Linked DNA regions of Nothobranchius furzeri. The protein of the gene in region 1 binds, or shares a complex with, the protein of each later gene. Links are inferred from orthologs where the notes say so. Each region holds a gene or a part of one and is shown on either strand. Other genes may lie near its edges.

The links. Proteins that work in one complex are often made in the same cells at the same time.
Region 2: trrap (region 1) and histone acetyltransferase KAT5 share a complex: the UniProt entries of both Homo sapiens proteins name them as parts of the SWR1-like complex. The link is inferred for Nothobranchius furzeri from reciprocal best matches to the Homo sapiens genes TRRAP and KAT5.

The regions. Positions count from the first base shown.
Region 1 is NC_091756.1:29,496,954-29,505,338, forward strand, and holds part of trrap (transformation/transcription domain-associated protein), read left to right. Parts: intron 1-3,492; coding exon 3,493-3,692; intron 3,693-3,909; coding exon 3,910-4,127; intron 4,128-4,269; coding exon 4,270-4,467; intron 4,468-4,596; coding exon 4,597-4,857; intron 4,858-5,047; coding exon 5,048-5,209; intron 5,210-5,358; coding exon 5,359-5,455; intron 5,456-5,606; coding exon 5,607-5,728; intron 5,729-8,385. UniProt on the Homo sapiens protein: Adapter protein, which is found in various multiprotein chromatin complexes with histone acetyltransferase activity (HAT), which gives a specific tag for epigenetic transcription activation.
Region 2 is NC_091750.1:47,301,839-47,310,223, reverse strand, and holds part of histone acetyltransferase KAT5, read left to right. Parts: intron 1-3,746; coding exon 3,747-3,932; intron 3,933-4,004; coding exon 4,005-4,085; intron 4,086-7,250; coding exon 7,251-7,313; intron 7,314-7,466; coding exon 7,467-7,715; intron 7,716-7,921; coding exon 7,922-8,011; intron 8,012-8,086; coding exon 8,087-8,227; intron 8,228-8,300; coding exon 8,301-8,385. UniProt on the Homo sapiens protein: Catalytic subunit of the NuA4 histone acetyltransferase complex, a multiprotein complex involved in transcriptional activation of select genes principally by acetylation of nucleosomal histones H2A and H4.

The DNA of each region.
Region 1 (8,385 bases):
ACAAAAGATCAATGAATCAAGTGGTGGAGACTACTCATTTCCCAAACAAAATGAGTACCCCCCCACCCACCCACGCAGGCTATGGCGAAACTGAGTGGAGAGAGAGTGAATGCAATAAAGAACTGCTTGGCTCAGTTCAACAGGGGAACATTGTGTCACCCAGACTCTGCCAACGACTGCTGGGCCTAATGGCTTCAGCTCTGGTGGCTGTTCCCCTAGGTCGTTTACACATGAAAGGAGTTCAACGGTGGATGGCCAGACAGAAACTGGACCGACACAGCTCTCGGAACATCAGGATCACAGCAGCCTGCACTGCTGCACTTCGGCCCTGGAGAAATGGACATCTCCTGTTGCAGGGAGTGCCCATGGGCACAGTGCAAAGCAGAAAAGTGATCACGACAGACGCCTCTCTGTCAGGTTGTGGTGGTGGTGGTGGTGGTGATGGTGTGTGTGTGTGTGTGGGGGGGGTCTTCGGAGGAGACCGGTGAATGGGTCCTGGCCCTCCCACATGCTCAGGTTCCACATAAATTATTTAGAACTGTCGGCAGTCTACATGACGTTGAGACATTTCCTCCCTCTCCTCGTAAACCATCATGTTCTGGTACGAACAGACAACACAACTGTTGTGGCATACATATATCGGCAGGGCGGTCTGAGATCCCAAAGCCTGCGCATGTTAGCTCACAAGCTTGTTCTGTGGAGCAGCAGACACTTCTTGTCTCTGAGAGCCACTCATGTACCGGGGATACGGAACCTGGAGGCAGATCTTCTCTCCTGAGGGAAACTCCTGTACGCGGAGTGGAGACTTCACCCCGAGGTGGTCAGGATGATCTGGATGCGCTTCAGGCAGGCCTCGATAGACCTGTTTTCCTCTCGAGAGAACTCTCAGTGCCCCATGTTTTTCTCCCTACACGACCAGGACACACCTCTGGGAGTGGATGCATTCGCCCACAGATGGCCACAGACCCTGCTCTATGCGTTTCCCCCTGTGGCTCTCATCTCACCCACGCTCACCAGAGTGAGAACGGAGGATCTGGTAATGATTCTGATTGCGCCCCATTGGCCATCGAAACACTGGCTGGCGGAGATCACACAACTCCTTTGTGGAGAACCGTGGCCCCTGCCCCTACGCAGAGATGTGCTATCTCAGGCACAAGGGGAGGTTTTCCGCCCACATCCAGAGAGATTGTCTCTCTGGGCTTGGCTCATGAGCAGTCCACCTACAAGCTGTAGGACTCCCACAGAGGGTCATTGAGACCATTCAGGGCGCAAGGGCTCCCTCAACTAGGTCTCTGTATGACTGCAAGTGATCTATTTTCGAAAAATGGTGTGGGGAGAAACAGGACATTCCTTTTCAGTGCTCCGTGGCGGTCATACTGACCTTCTTGCAGGACCTGATGGATAAAGGAAAAGCTTTCTCCACCATCAAGGTGTATTTGGCTGCAATATCAGCCTGCCATATTGGCTTTGAAGGGAAGTCGGTTGGACAGCATCCCCTTGTGAGTCGATTTATGAGAGGCGTGCGAAGGCAAGTTCCCGTCTCTAGGAATCTGGCCCCACCCTGGGACCTCCCGCTAGTTCTGGAGGCCTTAATGTCTTCTCCTTTTGAACCACTGGAGCAGGTGGATTTGAAGGTGGCTACATTAAAAACGGCGCTGTTGCTGGCACTTGTATCGGCTAAACGTGTGGGTGAAATACATGCTCTGTCTGTTCACCCGTCATGTACCAAATTTTCCCAAGGGGACTCGAAAGTGACCTTACTCCCTAATCCCACCTTTATGCCAAAGGTGCTGGGGGCTTTTCCCCCTATTTCTTTGGTTTCCTTCTGCCCTCCCCCCTTCTCCTCAGTGGAGCAGCAGAATCTCCGTGCACTTTGTCCGGTGTGTGCATTAAGTATATACATGGACAGGACAAAGACCATGCGAAAGCGCAACCAGCTTTTTGTATCCTAGGCCAAAAATCGGTTGGGGAAGCCCATATCAAAGCAGGGACTTTCTCACTGGATTGTAGGAGCCATTTCCTTAGCCTACAACTCCAAAGGGGCTCTACCTCCTTAGGGCCTTCGTGCCCATTCTACTAGAGGACTTTCTTCCTCATGGGCGTGTCCATTCAGGAAATATGTGCTGCGGCGAGTTGGAGCTCCCCTCACACATTCACTTGGTTCTACAAGCTAGATGTCACAACACCGTCACTAGCTCACTCGGTGCTGGGTACGGCTCCCACTATCTGAGCTGTGCACACGATATGATATTTGGGAGTACAGTCTGTGGATCATGTTCTGCCTTGCAATCCGGGAGTCAGTATTTTCCTACAGTGAGACACGAAACGAATGCTATAAAAGAGAAGTTTAGGTTATTGTCGTAACACCGGTTCTCTGAGTAGCATGAGTGAGTGTCTCACCATACCGCCCTCCTTACTATTTCGTAGCGAGGAAGAGGTGGTCATTTTAGAATACTGTCAGTGAGGAGCCGGCCTAATATATAGGTGGGGTTCCCGCCTCCTATATGCTGACAGATTTGTTCCAGCCAATCAGGGCTGGCAGTGTAGAATAAGAGCTTCTGATTAAGTCATGCCTAGGCGTTCCCATAGTGAGACACTCACTCATGCTACTCTGAGAACTGGGGTTACGACAGTAACCTAAAGTTTTCCCTGCATTACCAAAGCAGGCTGGCTGCACGTTTTCGAAGCTGTCTGATAGTTTTTCCTCACTAAAACGTCAGTCCTGTGAGAGAGGTGCACGCATTCTGGCACCTTAGCTTGTTTGAACTGTGTGCCGTCAGAAACATTCAAACCATTTTTAAAAGAGAAGTTGAACTTTCAAGTCAACTAAAGTGCGCGACTCTGCACTCGCGCTGATGAAGCATGAACCAAGCTTCAGAAATCAGCCTGAACCTCCTCCGATGTGGGAGGAGTCTCTCTCTCCCTTACTCAACTTCGTTCTCTCTCTCTCTCTCTCGTCCCGGGCTCACCTACGGTATCTGCTGTAGCAGCGCTGTGTGTGGGAACATAAAACAGGGAAAATAACCTGTACATGCAGCTCTGTCAGATGTGGAGTTGAGCTCGGCTCTGGACGGTACGCCCCACCCCCCTCCCCCACGCTGGCTTTTGCCGCTGCCATAACACGAGGGGAAAACCCCGGATGTAAAAACGAAAAAGTTTCACAACTGATCCCGGATCAGTCAAAACCGCTAAAACCGCAGCTTTGACGGTCACGTGATCGTGCCGTTTGAAATCACAGCATTGGTCCAGAAACGATAGATCGCTCAGCCCTGTGTCAGACAGCCTGAAAACTGCTACGCTTCACTCAGCCACATTATAGTAACTAACACATCACTTTACATGCTCAATAACATTAACGGCGTTGCAACGATGAGAAAACGAATGAATTAGACTACACTGTTACCTAAAAAATAACGTTGTTAGTAACACCCGTACTCCCAATACTCTTAATAAGTGATCATCTAATTCATGATGCTGTTTTCTCGCCTTTAGCTTCACTGATAAGTGGATTCCCAGCGTCATCATCTCTCACCGCTACAAAGCACAAGACACACCTGCGCGCAGAACCTTTGAGCAAGCCCTGACTGGAGCATTCATGTCTGCGGTGATAAAGGACCTGAGGCCCAGCGCTCTGCCCTTCGTTGCCAGCCTGATCCGCCATTACACCATGGTTGCTGTGGCTCAGCAGTGTGGTGAGGGACTGGGCTTTTAGCTTTTATGATGCAATAGCCTTCCCGGCTGCTTAATGTATTTATATATGTATGTAATTGTAACAGAGTTTTATAAAAAATTTTTATCTTAACAATGTTTTCTAATAAATCAAATGACATATATAAATCTGAAAGTTGTTTTAGTGAGTTTTTAAAAATCATTCATCGGTTTGTTTTTTTGTTCTCCTCTTCATGCCAGGTCCGTTCCTGCTGCCATCCTATCAGCTCGGCAGCCAGCCAAGCACCGCCATGTTCCACAGTGAGGAGAATGGTTCTAAGGGCATGGATCCACTGGTTCTCATTGATGCCATAGCGATCTGCATGGCCTACGAGGAGAAGGAGCTGTGTAAGATTGGAGAAGTGGCTCTGGCTGTCATCTTTGATGTTGCCAGCATCATCCTTGGCTCTAAGGAGCGAGTAAGTCACATTGGGAGGAGGCGATTGGAGGGAGTTTTTTATCCTTCCATTAAAACAACTTCATTTTAAATCAGTGCTTTAGTTTTTATAGTTGTAGTTTAGTTCTTCACACCCCCACCCACTGTGGCTTCTGCCCCTCCAGGCATGCCAGTTGCCCCTGTTCTCCTACATCGTGGAGCGTCTGTGTGCCTGTTGCTATGAGCAGGCCTGGTACGCCAAACTCGGCGGTGTGGTGTCCATCAAGTTTCTGATGGAGAGACTTCCTCTGATCTGGGTGCTACAGAACCAGCTTACGTTCCTCAAAGCCCTGCTCTTTGTCATGATGGACCTCACCGGAGAGGTGAGATTATTTTTGCTGTGATTTTTCTGTTTCCATCATCTTTTAACATACGGAGATTTATTTTTGTCATGCTGTTGGGCCTTTACGGTTAAAAGTACTGCATTCATGCTCCTATTGATTTTCACACAGGTGTCAAACGGGGCTGTAGCCATGGCAAAGACTACTTTAGAGCAGCTGCTAGTGCGCTGTGCCACTCCGCTGAAGGATGAGGAGAAGACCGATGAGCTGCTGGCTGCTCAGGATAAATCCTTTCACATGGTCACCCATGACCTCGTTAGAGAAGTCACCTCCCCGAACTCAACTGTCAGGAAGCAGGCCATGCATTCCCTCCAGGTGCTGGCGCAAGTCACCGGCAAGAGTGTGACGGTCATCATGGAACCACACAAAGAGGTGAAACCAGACTCTTAAAGGCTTTGGGTGCAGAATTACCTGTGTTCAGTAAAATGCACCTGATTCAGGTGCTCGGCTACCCTCACAGACGCCTTTTAATCAAAATTTCTCTAAATTAACAAGATTGATTTGAAAGTTCTGTTTGTGTAGCACAGCACAGACTGACCTCCTAAACAACAATGCTGTTCAGGTTTTGCAGGATATGGTTCCTCCTAAGAAACACCTGCTGCGTCACCAGCCTGCAAACGCCCAGATCGGTCTGATGGAGGGAAACACCTTCTGCACCACGCTGCAGCCCCGCCTCTTTACCATGGACCTGAATGTCATGGAGCATAAGGTCTTCTACACTGAGGTATGGAGGCTTTTCTCTGAGCTAAACTAAAGCTCAGAGACACAAACACATTCATGGTTTAGTTAAGTCTAGATCTAGTTCTACCAGACAAGTCTTGGTTGCTGTGTTTTTATTGACTTTTGCATCAGATGTGTTGTTTTTCTCTTTAGCTTTTGAATCTGTGTGAGGCAGAGGATGCTGCCCTGATGAAGCTGCCATGTTATAAGAGCCTTCCCTCCCTGGTTCCTCTTCGTATTGCTGCTCTCAGTAAGTCCTCCCAGCTAATCAGGATTCAATTTTGGTTTTCTTAGTCAGTCCACTGAATTTACAACATGTCATTTTTTCTCTTTAAGTTATGTGTGTTTTTATAATTCCTCAGAGTGAAAGTGTTAAATCTTTGTGTCTTCACCTTGATCAGATGCCCTGGCAGCCTGTAATTACTTACCACAGTCCAGAGAGAAGATCATCGCTGCCCTGTTCAAAGCTCTGAACTCCACCAACAATGAGCTGCAGGAAGCGGGTGAAGCATGCATGAGGAAGGTCAGCACAGCTTACCCACTCTGTTTGTTTCTCTCTCTCGCTTTGTGACATCTAGAGTTGGACAAAAACTAGAAAAACAATGCATAATTGTGAGCTCATGTCTACGCTGGCTGCTGGGGAGGCGTCATGCTTTTATGCTAAAGCTATAAATCGTATTTTCTGCCATCATTTATTAAATGTGCAGAAAACAAGGCCTAGAGGATTAAATTTAAGTTACTACTAAAAAAATTCAGTTGTTTACGCAGATGTTTAATTACTAAATCAGTGAAGGAAAGAAAGTTGTGAAAATCCAGGAAGGAATTAAGAGAAAGTGAAACATTTACAGGCCAATAAAATCACAAAAATGTGAAAAACAAGTCATATCTTGATATTTAACGAAATTAGTTGTGTTTATTTTTATCCCACAACAAAATAATTAAATAGAACCTCTTAATCTGCTAAGTATTTTTCTCTTTGAATTCAAAATATTGAAGCATTAGATAATTTCACTGTTTTATTCTTCATGATGTTTTTCTTTCTAGCATCTTTCTATAAAATCCAAGACGTTCCAGCGTTCGATAATAACTTTTCTGACATCATTTATGACCATAATCTGAGTTTATCACAGATTATTATGCATTGATCTGTCTGTTTTCAAAGATTTACATTGAAAATGACAGTTCAGTGATTTTAGTGATTTTAATAGTGAATTGTTAACGACACAGATTCGACCACTGTAGAGTTTTTCTTGCACCAGTGTAATTTTTAAAATCTTTTCCCTGATCACTGTTCTCTAAATCTTTAGTGTTGAATAGATTTAGGTTTAATTTCACTTGCTTGGAAAAGTCACACCTGTCTCTAATCTATCTGCAGTCTCCTTTGAGCCCAGACGAGCCCCAGATTAGCAGACATAACCTTTGTAATTATGGATTAGTCTGTGCCCTTAAGGGCAAAAAGCAATCTTTGTAAGAAACACGGTTGCATCCTCTAACTCTTTTTCTAAATCACATTTTCTGCCTCCTGTGAATGGAGTTCGTTCTCCCCCTGTTACCACTTATCTTCATATGAGCCTCCCTCAGCTTTATCACACTGTCCCTGAACCAGCTCTCCTCCTATTCATCAAAGTATCCTCACCGTCTGGCCTTCTATCCGTCTGCTCCATGCTCTCTGTCCTTATTCTTCTATTTCCCAGCTCTGTCACTCCTCCTCACTGTGCCGGGATTCTTTTTTCTATTTTTCTTTCCATTTTCTGTTCCCTCCATTCTTTCATCTCTACTCTGCTAGCACTAATGAGCGTTGCCATGGCTAGATCGATACAGGATGGAGTGTTTGTTCTCAACGCTGAGAGGAAAATGAATGTGGCTGCCATGCATCCCCCCACCCTCATCTGTGTGTGTGTGTGTGTGTGTGTGTGTGTGTGTGTGTGTGTGTGTGTGTGTGTGTGTGTCATCAGTGTTTGGTTGGTATCTGTGTTTGTTCACATATCACTAGCTCCTCATTTGAGTGGCCTTTGTTTTTTGATAGAGGCCCAAGGGTGATAAGCAGGTCATGTGATGGATCACTTTTATTTCTGTGTAGATGTAATCAGGGCTTAATTTGAGCCGGATCTTGCCGGAACAAGATCCGGAACTATCTTATTTTGAAAGGACCGTTCCGGCAGCTGTCTGCTAGGTTCTGGCAACTCACGCGACCAACTTGTGCTATACGCAGGACAGGGGCGCAGATAGGATTTTCAAACTGGGGGGACAAAGTTCCAATGTACCCTCCCCCAAACACACAAACACACACACATGTACACATACACACACTATTGCAAAAGCCTTAACTAGAGCTCAGTCAGTTTGTGTAATTTCATCCAATGGTTTACGAAAAAACTAACACTATTATATACGTGTTTGAAGCTATTATGCAATGGAACACTATCCAAATCAGTCACTTGTTATTCTCCCAATTAAGTACTAACCAAAACCTCATGCTTTATGCAAAACATGCTTTATTTAAACATTAACTGATTTTAAGCACACCAATCTTTACAGAAAACATAAAAGCAAAAAAAAAAGTTTTTCTTGAGAAACTAGAAGAAAAAATGTCCAAGAAAAGGAAAAACTTGCATATAGTCAACAGAGCTACTCCAACATGCAGCCACCCAGAGCAGCGCAGTTCCGGAATGTTCCGGCGTCAGCTCAGGAACTGCCATTGTTTAAAACATCCTTAGCATCAATCTTGGACGATTTAGACTTGGGCTTTTCTTTGAGACATGAGCAGAAAGAGGTATTTAAGTCCTTCATTTAGAAAAAAGGATGTATTTGCCTCTTTTTCAGTGTACGGCGGTTTGCCCCGTTGACTGATTTTTGTAGCGATGAATATGCCATGTTCGTTGCTCTTATTGGTCCTATCGCTGTCCAATTCCATGTAGAGGCTGTTTGAAAGACGGTCGATTCAGCCTCATGACCGAGCTCTGTCTATGGTCGTGGCCAGACCGTACATTCACAAATACATCACGTTGTGCTTGGCTACAGCTAATGACTAGTTTAAATAAAGCTGAGACTGAAGGGGTAAATTATTGTAGCTTCAATTTTCAAATTTCATACCGATTCATGTGACTGTACGTATTTTAGAAACCTTTGGACTTGTGTGGTAATTTAATATTTATAACTCCTGCTGGTGATCTTTATGCT
Region 2 (8,385 bases), on another chromosome or scaffold:
TTTTCCAGCAGTGATATTGCTAATTCTGTTGAAGGAAATTCACAGTTTAATGAGAGACAGCTGGTGAAAATGATATGTAAATAAGTAAGAATGCATGTAGACGTACATAATTAAGCAAAACTGAAACACTAATATAAAGTATATATATATTTTTTTTTCTCCCTTCGAATCTGGGAGGGTGGAACCCCAGCTCCAGCTATGGACGAGCCCCCAGGGGGCCCAACTTGATATTTTTTCATGGGGCCCAAAATCTCTGGCAGCCCCCCTGCTTATCAGTGCATTCTGGAGGCCACACTTTTAAAAAACACTCCATTTAACAAAATAATTACACTGAAGTTTCTTTATTTTACCAAACAACCTAGAGGAGGATGACACCAAGCTGTCACAAAGCAGGAGTCATGGCAGACTGACCTGTTGCTGGTCTCGTTTCATTTTGCTGTGCAGCTTTATTTCCATGTTTTTCTACCTTCTCAGTGGTCGCCCTGGGACTGGGAGACCGGGGGTTCAAATCCCGGTCGGATCCCATCAAAGACTAATAATGGGACCCAGTGCCTCTCCGCTTGACACTCAGCTTTAAGGGGTTTTATTGGGGGGATTAAACCACCAAATACTTCCAGAGCACAACCACCGCTGCAGTTTACCACTCCCCACGGGGATGGGCCAAATGCGGAGGTGAATTTCACTAGTGTGTGATGATTATGGGACGATGGATGATTATGGGCTCGGCTCTTTGATGCTGGGCTCATTTTGTTAACTACCACATCTAAAATGCTCCCACGCTGTGCATTTTCCTAACCGCTTCATTTTTAGTCAGTTTATTTGATCATGTGACAAGCTCTTCTGTGGTTTTGATAGTGGCGCTCTCGCGTCCTCTGGTGGCACATAATATATTACACCCATGCACAGCAGAAGGATGTGAACTGGCAGTTAACTGGGCAAAACTATTTTACCCGGTTACATTAACAGCAATTAACCAGTTAACTATGTACATCTCTAGAATACATATTACTTGTATATTTGGTCCACTTTTGATCGGATTAGATGAAATACCAGCCTATCCTGCTGGTAAATCAAAAGTTTCTTTTTCATCAAAACAGCTATTTAAGGCAATGCTGCTTTTATTTTGATAGTGGGTTAGCTAGTTGGCATTGTGAGGGATGGTGAAGAGTTTGGGGGGGAAAATTTTACAGGTTACACACTAATATTCACAATAACTGATAGGGCTGTGTTAAAAAAATCAATCCTTCTATTCTGAATCGATTCTCAAAAATATTCACGAGGATCGATTCAAACGTCCAAAGATCGATTTAACCCTTTAAGCACCAAAGCTGCTCACTTGCAACAACTGTCATTGCTGACTTTAAAGAGCCACAGCTGCATATATGATCCTTCATGAAGTTACTACTTTACACCAGAAGATAGTGGAGATGTCCATCTTCAGTAAGCTGAGCAACACTTGTGTTCATATTGAAACAGGGTATCAGCAGGTCCTTAAAAAGCATAAAGTCTTAAATTTGCTTTTCCAAATTTAAGGCCTTAAAAATCCTTAAAAATGACAAATAATCCTTAAATACAGTTTCCAAAGGTCTTAAATTACCAAAGACTCAATAAACAAGGTTCTTTTATTTCTATAAACTTTTTGTGAATTTCTAGTTAGTGTTCAGCATGTTTTGTGTATGATATTGGCATAAGTGGAACCATACACATTCAGCTGGTTGTGAAAGGGGACTATTTTCAGATGAGCACATTAGCTGGTTAAGCTAGTGGGAGCTTGCGTCATGGGGAAGTGCAAGTTTAATGGTAACTGGATGGCTAATCCCACGTTCGTGACGTGGTTGGCACCGGTTCCAGGCAATAGCTGGAAATTATAGCTTTAATTTAATAATAAAAAAAGCTTAAATTTGGTCAAAGTGGCCTTAAAAAAAGTCTTAAAAAGTCTTAAATTTGACTCCCTTAAACCTGTGGAAGTTTCTGAGTTTTTCGAGCTTGAAAACCGTTGGGTAGCTCCAGGTTATGGGAGAGAACGAGAGGAGACGACGAACGCAGCACATGGTGGTATATTATAGGGGATAACTTACAAATGCTGACAGGTCTGGTCATTGGTGACTCTCTTTGTCTGGTAATGACCGCCTCCAATTCAGTTGAAGAATATTCACTCATCCAGTCTGAAAGAGTGCTTCACGTGGAGAAAGTGAGGCTAATGGAGCTAAAACGTTCCACATGCTGATTCTAAAGCTTTCTCACCGGGACATGGTGGATGTAGAAAGAATAGTAAAAACACTGCTAATTATGACAGACGTAGCGGGAATGTTGGGAATAAAAGCCATAAAAAAAAAAAACAGCAGACGCGTTTAAAATGGAAGTCAAAGAGTGTCACATAATCAAATGAATTTTCAATGTATCCCAGCCATCTGTGGTCCAGATGGAGACCTTTTCTTGGAGCAAATGACCATTACATTTAAGGGAAGGTCAACCCTAAAGATGTTCAAGCCCAAAAAAAATCTGACCAATATTGTTAAAAAGCATTTTTGAGTGAGGCCAATATAAAAAAGTGTGTGTGTGTGTGTGAGAGAGATGCCCTAGGTTCGTGTTCCAATAGCAGTCCACTTGATGCAGTCATTGACACGTCTTCCTTCCACTGTCGACTGTCCTGGATCGGTTTGCTAATTGAGCCTGACGGCAAGTTTGAAAAGCACAGTTCTGAGACAGATTTGGCCACACAGCACATGTCAGTAATTTGTTGTTGAATGTTAATAGTGTTAATGTACTACACAACAACATAGGCATGTAATTAAGCTAACAGCAAAAAAAAAGAAGAGTTCGCTGTTCCAATATATCAGATCAGATCAAATCAAATTGTGATAATCGATTCTAATTCTTGAGAATTGGAATCGAATCGATTCTTGAAATTTGAATCGATACCCAGCTCCAATAACAGACAACGTAATATTTCTTTATTTGTATTTCTAATATAAAACTCTACCATTATGGACTTTCTTCTCTGCTGTTTGGAGTATGTTTGCGATGCAATACATTATGGGATACTTTGCCAGTCCGAGTCCGCAGAAGGGTGCGTTACTGCATCGTTGATGCAATGGGCGGAGCAAGAACACATCCGGGAACTTTGAGTAACTTGCCATGATGCGTACTTAGATTGGAACAGTACTTGGGCCATCGCTGTTGATGTTTCACAAGTAGGCGAGTACACATGCTGAGAAATGACCATTTCAGCTGATTTCTACTTCCTGAGACAGACACACCTGAGCCAAGTATGACTTAAAGGGCATTCATTCCTACTCGAGACCGCTGCCAATACAGTGATTTAAATGAGTGTGCCACACCTTTAAATAACTGTTTGATGTGAGTTTTTACTAACACACAAACTACATCTTAATACCGGGTTTAAATAAGGTTTAATTAACAACAATAATTATCTTAGAAATGACCATCATTTAGACAGTCTGATTTGCTGTGGCTTTAACCAAATTCATTCTCAGCTCAGTCAGTGCACTAGCACTAGTGTCCGTGCACTGACTGCTGGTGAAACACCAGTCAGTGCACTAGCACTAGTGTCCGTGCACTGACTGCTGGTGAAACACCAGTCAGTGCACTAGCACTAGTGTCCGTGCACTGACTGCTGGTGAAACACCAGTCAGTGTTAAACCTCTCCAAACCCAGCTTTAGCTCTGTTGTGCCTCTGCTCAGGCTGAGTGAGCTGCAGCTCTAACCTCTTGTGTTTGTTGTAGAAGAGGAAGGCGGAGACGGTTCCCGTGGCGACTCAGGTGCCCCCGGCCCCTCCCGTTCCGTCTCTACCGAGTTCGACTGAAGCCTCTCAGGCGGCGGTTTTCCCTGCGGTGCGAGAAGCCACCACCCCCACCTTAAACACCTTTAAGGCCAGAGAAGACCATGAGCAGTTGTCCTCTCTCACCACGGTGAATAAAACACTCTGAAGCTCTTTTATGTGTTTATTTGTTGTTCATGAACAGCGTCTCGTTCCTCCCCAGCAGCAGAATGGCACTGCCCGGCGCCTCATCCCCCCCCAGCCTGGGAGGAAGAGGAAAGCTAACTGTGAGGGGGCCAACGAGGTAAAATCTATCAGACTGTAGAAACGGTGATCTAACGCACTAATCTACCGTTTACTTCTATCTTCTTTCTCCACACAGCCACTCTGGTTGTTGTCTGCATATTTTATTCTTTGTTGTTTCATCTGTAGGATCATTTATGAAATGTTTGGGAAACCTCCATTTTCTGGATAGGAGAATGTTTTACTTTGGGGGGTTTATCCCACCAGAAAGGGATTTTCTTTTCTTTTGACAGCATTTTAAATGGTAAAAGGGTAGATCATTAAGGCAATTGCGGTCAGCTCGGCCTGGGCCGGGTAGGGACAGTGACAGGCTGTTAGTAGCTATGTTAAACGGGCACAAGTAATTGGAACGAACGCCCAATCAGATCAAAAATTCTTCATGTAAACATATCAGTAAGAATATTCTGATCCGAAACGGCCCGATTCAAACAAAATTTCATTCCGATTGACTGGGGTAGTTTTGTCCGATCATCATTCCGATTGACGTCCATGTACACATTCATTCGGATTGTTGCAGTAACGTAATGCCCACTGCGCATGTGTGCAACATAGTCTTAGCCAGCGAGCCTCCCCGCCATCATTTGGATGGCCTGACTTAAAAAGTAGCGGCCTAATTAATGAGCGACGGCTTTTAATATCGATGGCAAGCTGTCCTCGTTTGAGTAATATCTAATCTAGAATTTGCGCTTGGTGGAAGTAAAATGAAAATCTGATTATTGTACAAATCATTCAACAAGCGTGTCCCAGTCTGTAGCTACTGGAAATACGCAGGTTCATTGTGGGGTTTGCAGCACAGATCCCCGTTTCTGTCAGCTGTGAATGCAGCAGCTGTTTCTGCACCAGGTGGAAAGAAGACAGGGTAACATTGCAGGCCTGCCAACCTGTACGAATTTTGCATAGTTAGTGCGCAGTTTGGCATCTATTTACGCTGGTACGACTCACCCCTCTAAACTACGCAAAAAGCTGTGGATACGTGAGTTGAGTTCTGTGGCAAATATGCACGTGTGGTACTCATGTCTGACAACATGACTCAGTGGCGTGGTGAAGAAGTTTAAGCCAATCATCATTGAAAAGCAGAGAAAAAACAGCTAACTATCCTGCCTAACCTAGCATAACACCCCCGCCCCCCTCCTCCCTGCTTCGTCCTGCCCGCTGCTCCTCTCTCCCTCCGGTTCACCACTCGCTGCTGTTCTGGCAAGGTAATTGTGTGTGTGTGTGTGTGTGTGTGTGTGTGTGTGTGTGTGTGTGTGTGTGTGTGTGTGTGTGTGTGTGCGCCTTTATCCATTGCATATAGATTTGGCCTGTATATAAGGAGGAATGTGATTATACAGTTTAAACATGCAGCCATTATTTTTTTGCAGCTCGTTTTGCAACTCATGCTATGGCAGATGAGGGAGAAGCAGACAGGGAGGGATTGTTTAGCAGACCTGCCAAAAAGAGGGTCCATGTTTCTCAGAAGATTTTGTCCAAATATCAAGAACAGCGGCCATGCTTGCGACCCTCTAAACAACCTCACCATGCATTTTGCACAATCTTCAATTATGATGTGGACATAAGCCACCAGGGGGCTGCAGGTAATTAGTAAATTAGCCCTGGTGTTGTTTGCATATTTGCTTTAATGTAACTATTGAACAGAAACATCTATTGCAATTTACAAAATAAATAATTACCATTAAATAAATGTTTTTTTATTAATTTGTATTGAAATAATGTAATGCAAGTAACTTGTATAAGCACATATTATATAAGGAAACTTTAGAGTTTTACAGTTTAATATTAAAATACATGATACTTCAGTCAAACTGGTCAGGTCAAACTGTAAAAATGTCTATAACCTTACCAGTCAAAATAAGAACTGTGGGTGTGTGTGTGTGGTAAAATTTTCCATCCAGTGAATGGGGAGATTACAGCGTGAAAAGCAATGGAGTTGCAAAAGTCCGCGAAAAAACGCAGCACAAGTGGTACTCGAAAATTTTTGACAAGGTTGGCAGGTCTGACATTGGTTAAACAGACCTGCTTTTAAGGAGGCTGCTGAATAGAAAACTTCATCAGTTAAATATTCTGGGTGACAGTAAAGTCCAATCTGTGTTAATAGCTCATTAACACAGATGAGATGCGGTTTGTTTATGAACACATGATGAACATGGGCTTCCAAACTTTACGAACATCTCCTGTTATTTAGTTTGAACCAAATTTTCTCAACTGTTTCAGCTGATTGTCACATTTTATGTGTAATAAGCCACAACAGAGCTCAGTAATAAAACATGAGTCTGAACCCCCCACCCCCACCCCACACACACACACACAGCGTCGCGTCACACCCGCGGACCAGCTGATCAGGAGGCAGAGACGAGGAAAACCCTTATTTTATTATTGTCAACAATAAAACGCAGCAAAGCATAAACAACCTCTATGAGTAAAATGAAAATGTTAAATTGATTAAATTAACCAGGAAAGCGGGAAGAATTGTTATTTGTGATTTAACATTTTTCATTTTGTTGCATGCCATTTAAAAACAAATTTCTGGGATATTTGATATTTGCTAAAAGAAGCCTTTTCGTTTGGGATATATTCAGGCTTTGTCATGTAGCTAGTTATATTTATCTTGTTTAACTGGAGCATAGGACATAGCATTAACAATTGTAAACTAGTAACAGCTGTAATTCATGTGGGTCAGGTTAGTTTGCGATAAAGTTAAAAAACAAAAACAGAAGAAGTCAGTGGGCTAGGCTGAGTTTGCGTGAGTGGGCGGGGTTGACTCTGGTGCAGCTCCACCTTTGCAGTTCTGCAGCGAGCACCCTCTGGTCGGCTCCACGTGAATAACGATGTAAACGCAATGGCCCCACCCAGCCCAGACCAAGCTGACCCCCCAAAAGACTCCTCCTGGATGATGTCACTCTTACCTGAACAGCTCACCTGTCTGTAGCGGACCTCCAGGAGGTTCTTCATGTTTTAACCCTAACCCCACATAAAAATACATTTTCCACTTTACTGTTTATGATTGTCAGATTACGGTGGTTTTGTCACAATCCATCCCTGTAATGTTCTAAAACCTTTATACTATCGTTTAATTCTCTCATTTAACCTGAAACCAACATTTTCAGTTTATCATTTTATTCCTTCCCCTAGTTTCCAAACCCTCTGTTTTTGTGTCTTTTTCTTCTAGATGATTAAGGTTTTGCAATATAACAAGCCTCAAAGTGCCAGTGTGTTCCTACCACCACCAGAGGTGTGTTCCACTTGATGTTTTTGCCTGTTGTGAGTGTGTTTGTGTCCAAATTTGGTGCCATAGTGGTAAAACCTCTCCATTCCTCCTGGTAGTACTTCCAGGATCATTAGGTGTTTAAAGTGATGTATATCTGATGTGATTAACCTCCACCAGGACTCTCAGGACAGTTCTGATGGCATCCCAACAGCTCCCCGCATGACGGGCAGTTTGGTGTCTGATCGCAGCCACGACGATATCGTCACCCGGATGAAAAATATAGAGTGTATCGAGTTGGGACGGCACAGACTGAAGCCCTGGTACTTCTCCCCGTACCCACAGGAGCTCACCACGCTGCCCATCCTCTACCTCTGTGAATTCTGTCTCAAATACGTCAAAAGCCTCAAGTGTCTCCAGAGGCATCTGGTAAGAATTGCTTCAGTCACATTATCCTCGTGGCTTTGTGTTGCTCAGAGAGTCAAAAGTAAAGGTGGCTCATACAAAATGTCAGGTAGGCATATCAGCTGTAGCTGTTAGGAATGTTCAGCCGAATCGTGTTTCGGCTCGCTGAGCTGGGAAGGGAATTCTTATGTGGGTCTGCTGCTTTACTGTATTTCTCTCTTTTCTTCCAGACCAAATGTAATTTAAGACATCCTCCAGGAAACGAGATCTACCGCAAAGGCACCATCTCCTTCTTTGAGATTGATGGCAGGAAAAACAAAGTAATTAATGAAAATCTTTTCTCCTCGTTTTCTTCTTTCAGTTTTTGGTTCAAACATGGACTTCATGTCTTTCAGAATTATTCCCAGAACCTGTGTTTACTTGCAAAGTGTTTTCTGGACCACAAAACGTTGTATTACGACACAGACCCTTTCCTCTTCTACGTCATGACGGAGTACGATTCTAAAGGCTTCCACATAGTGGGCTACTTCTCAAAGGTACCAGAGGGATGACCGCTCACCTGGATCCAGTTCTGTGGCCATAGTCCATCTTTCTGTTTTCTGTTTGCAGGAAAAAGAGTCGACTGAAGATTATAACGTGGCTTGCATCCTGACCTTACCTCCCTACCAACGCAGAGGTTATGGAAAGCTGCTGA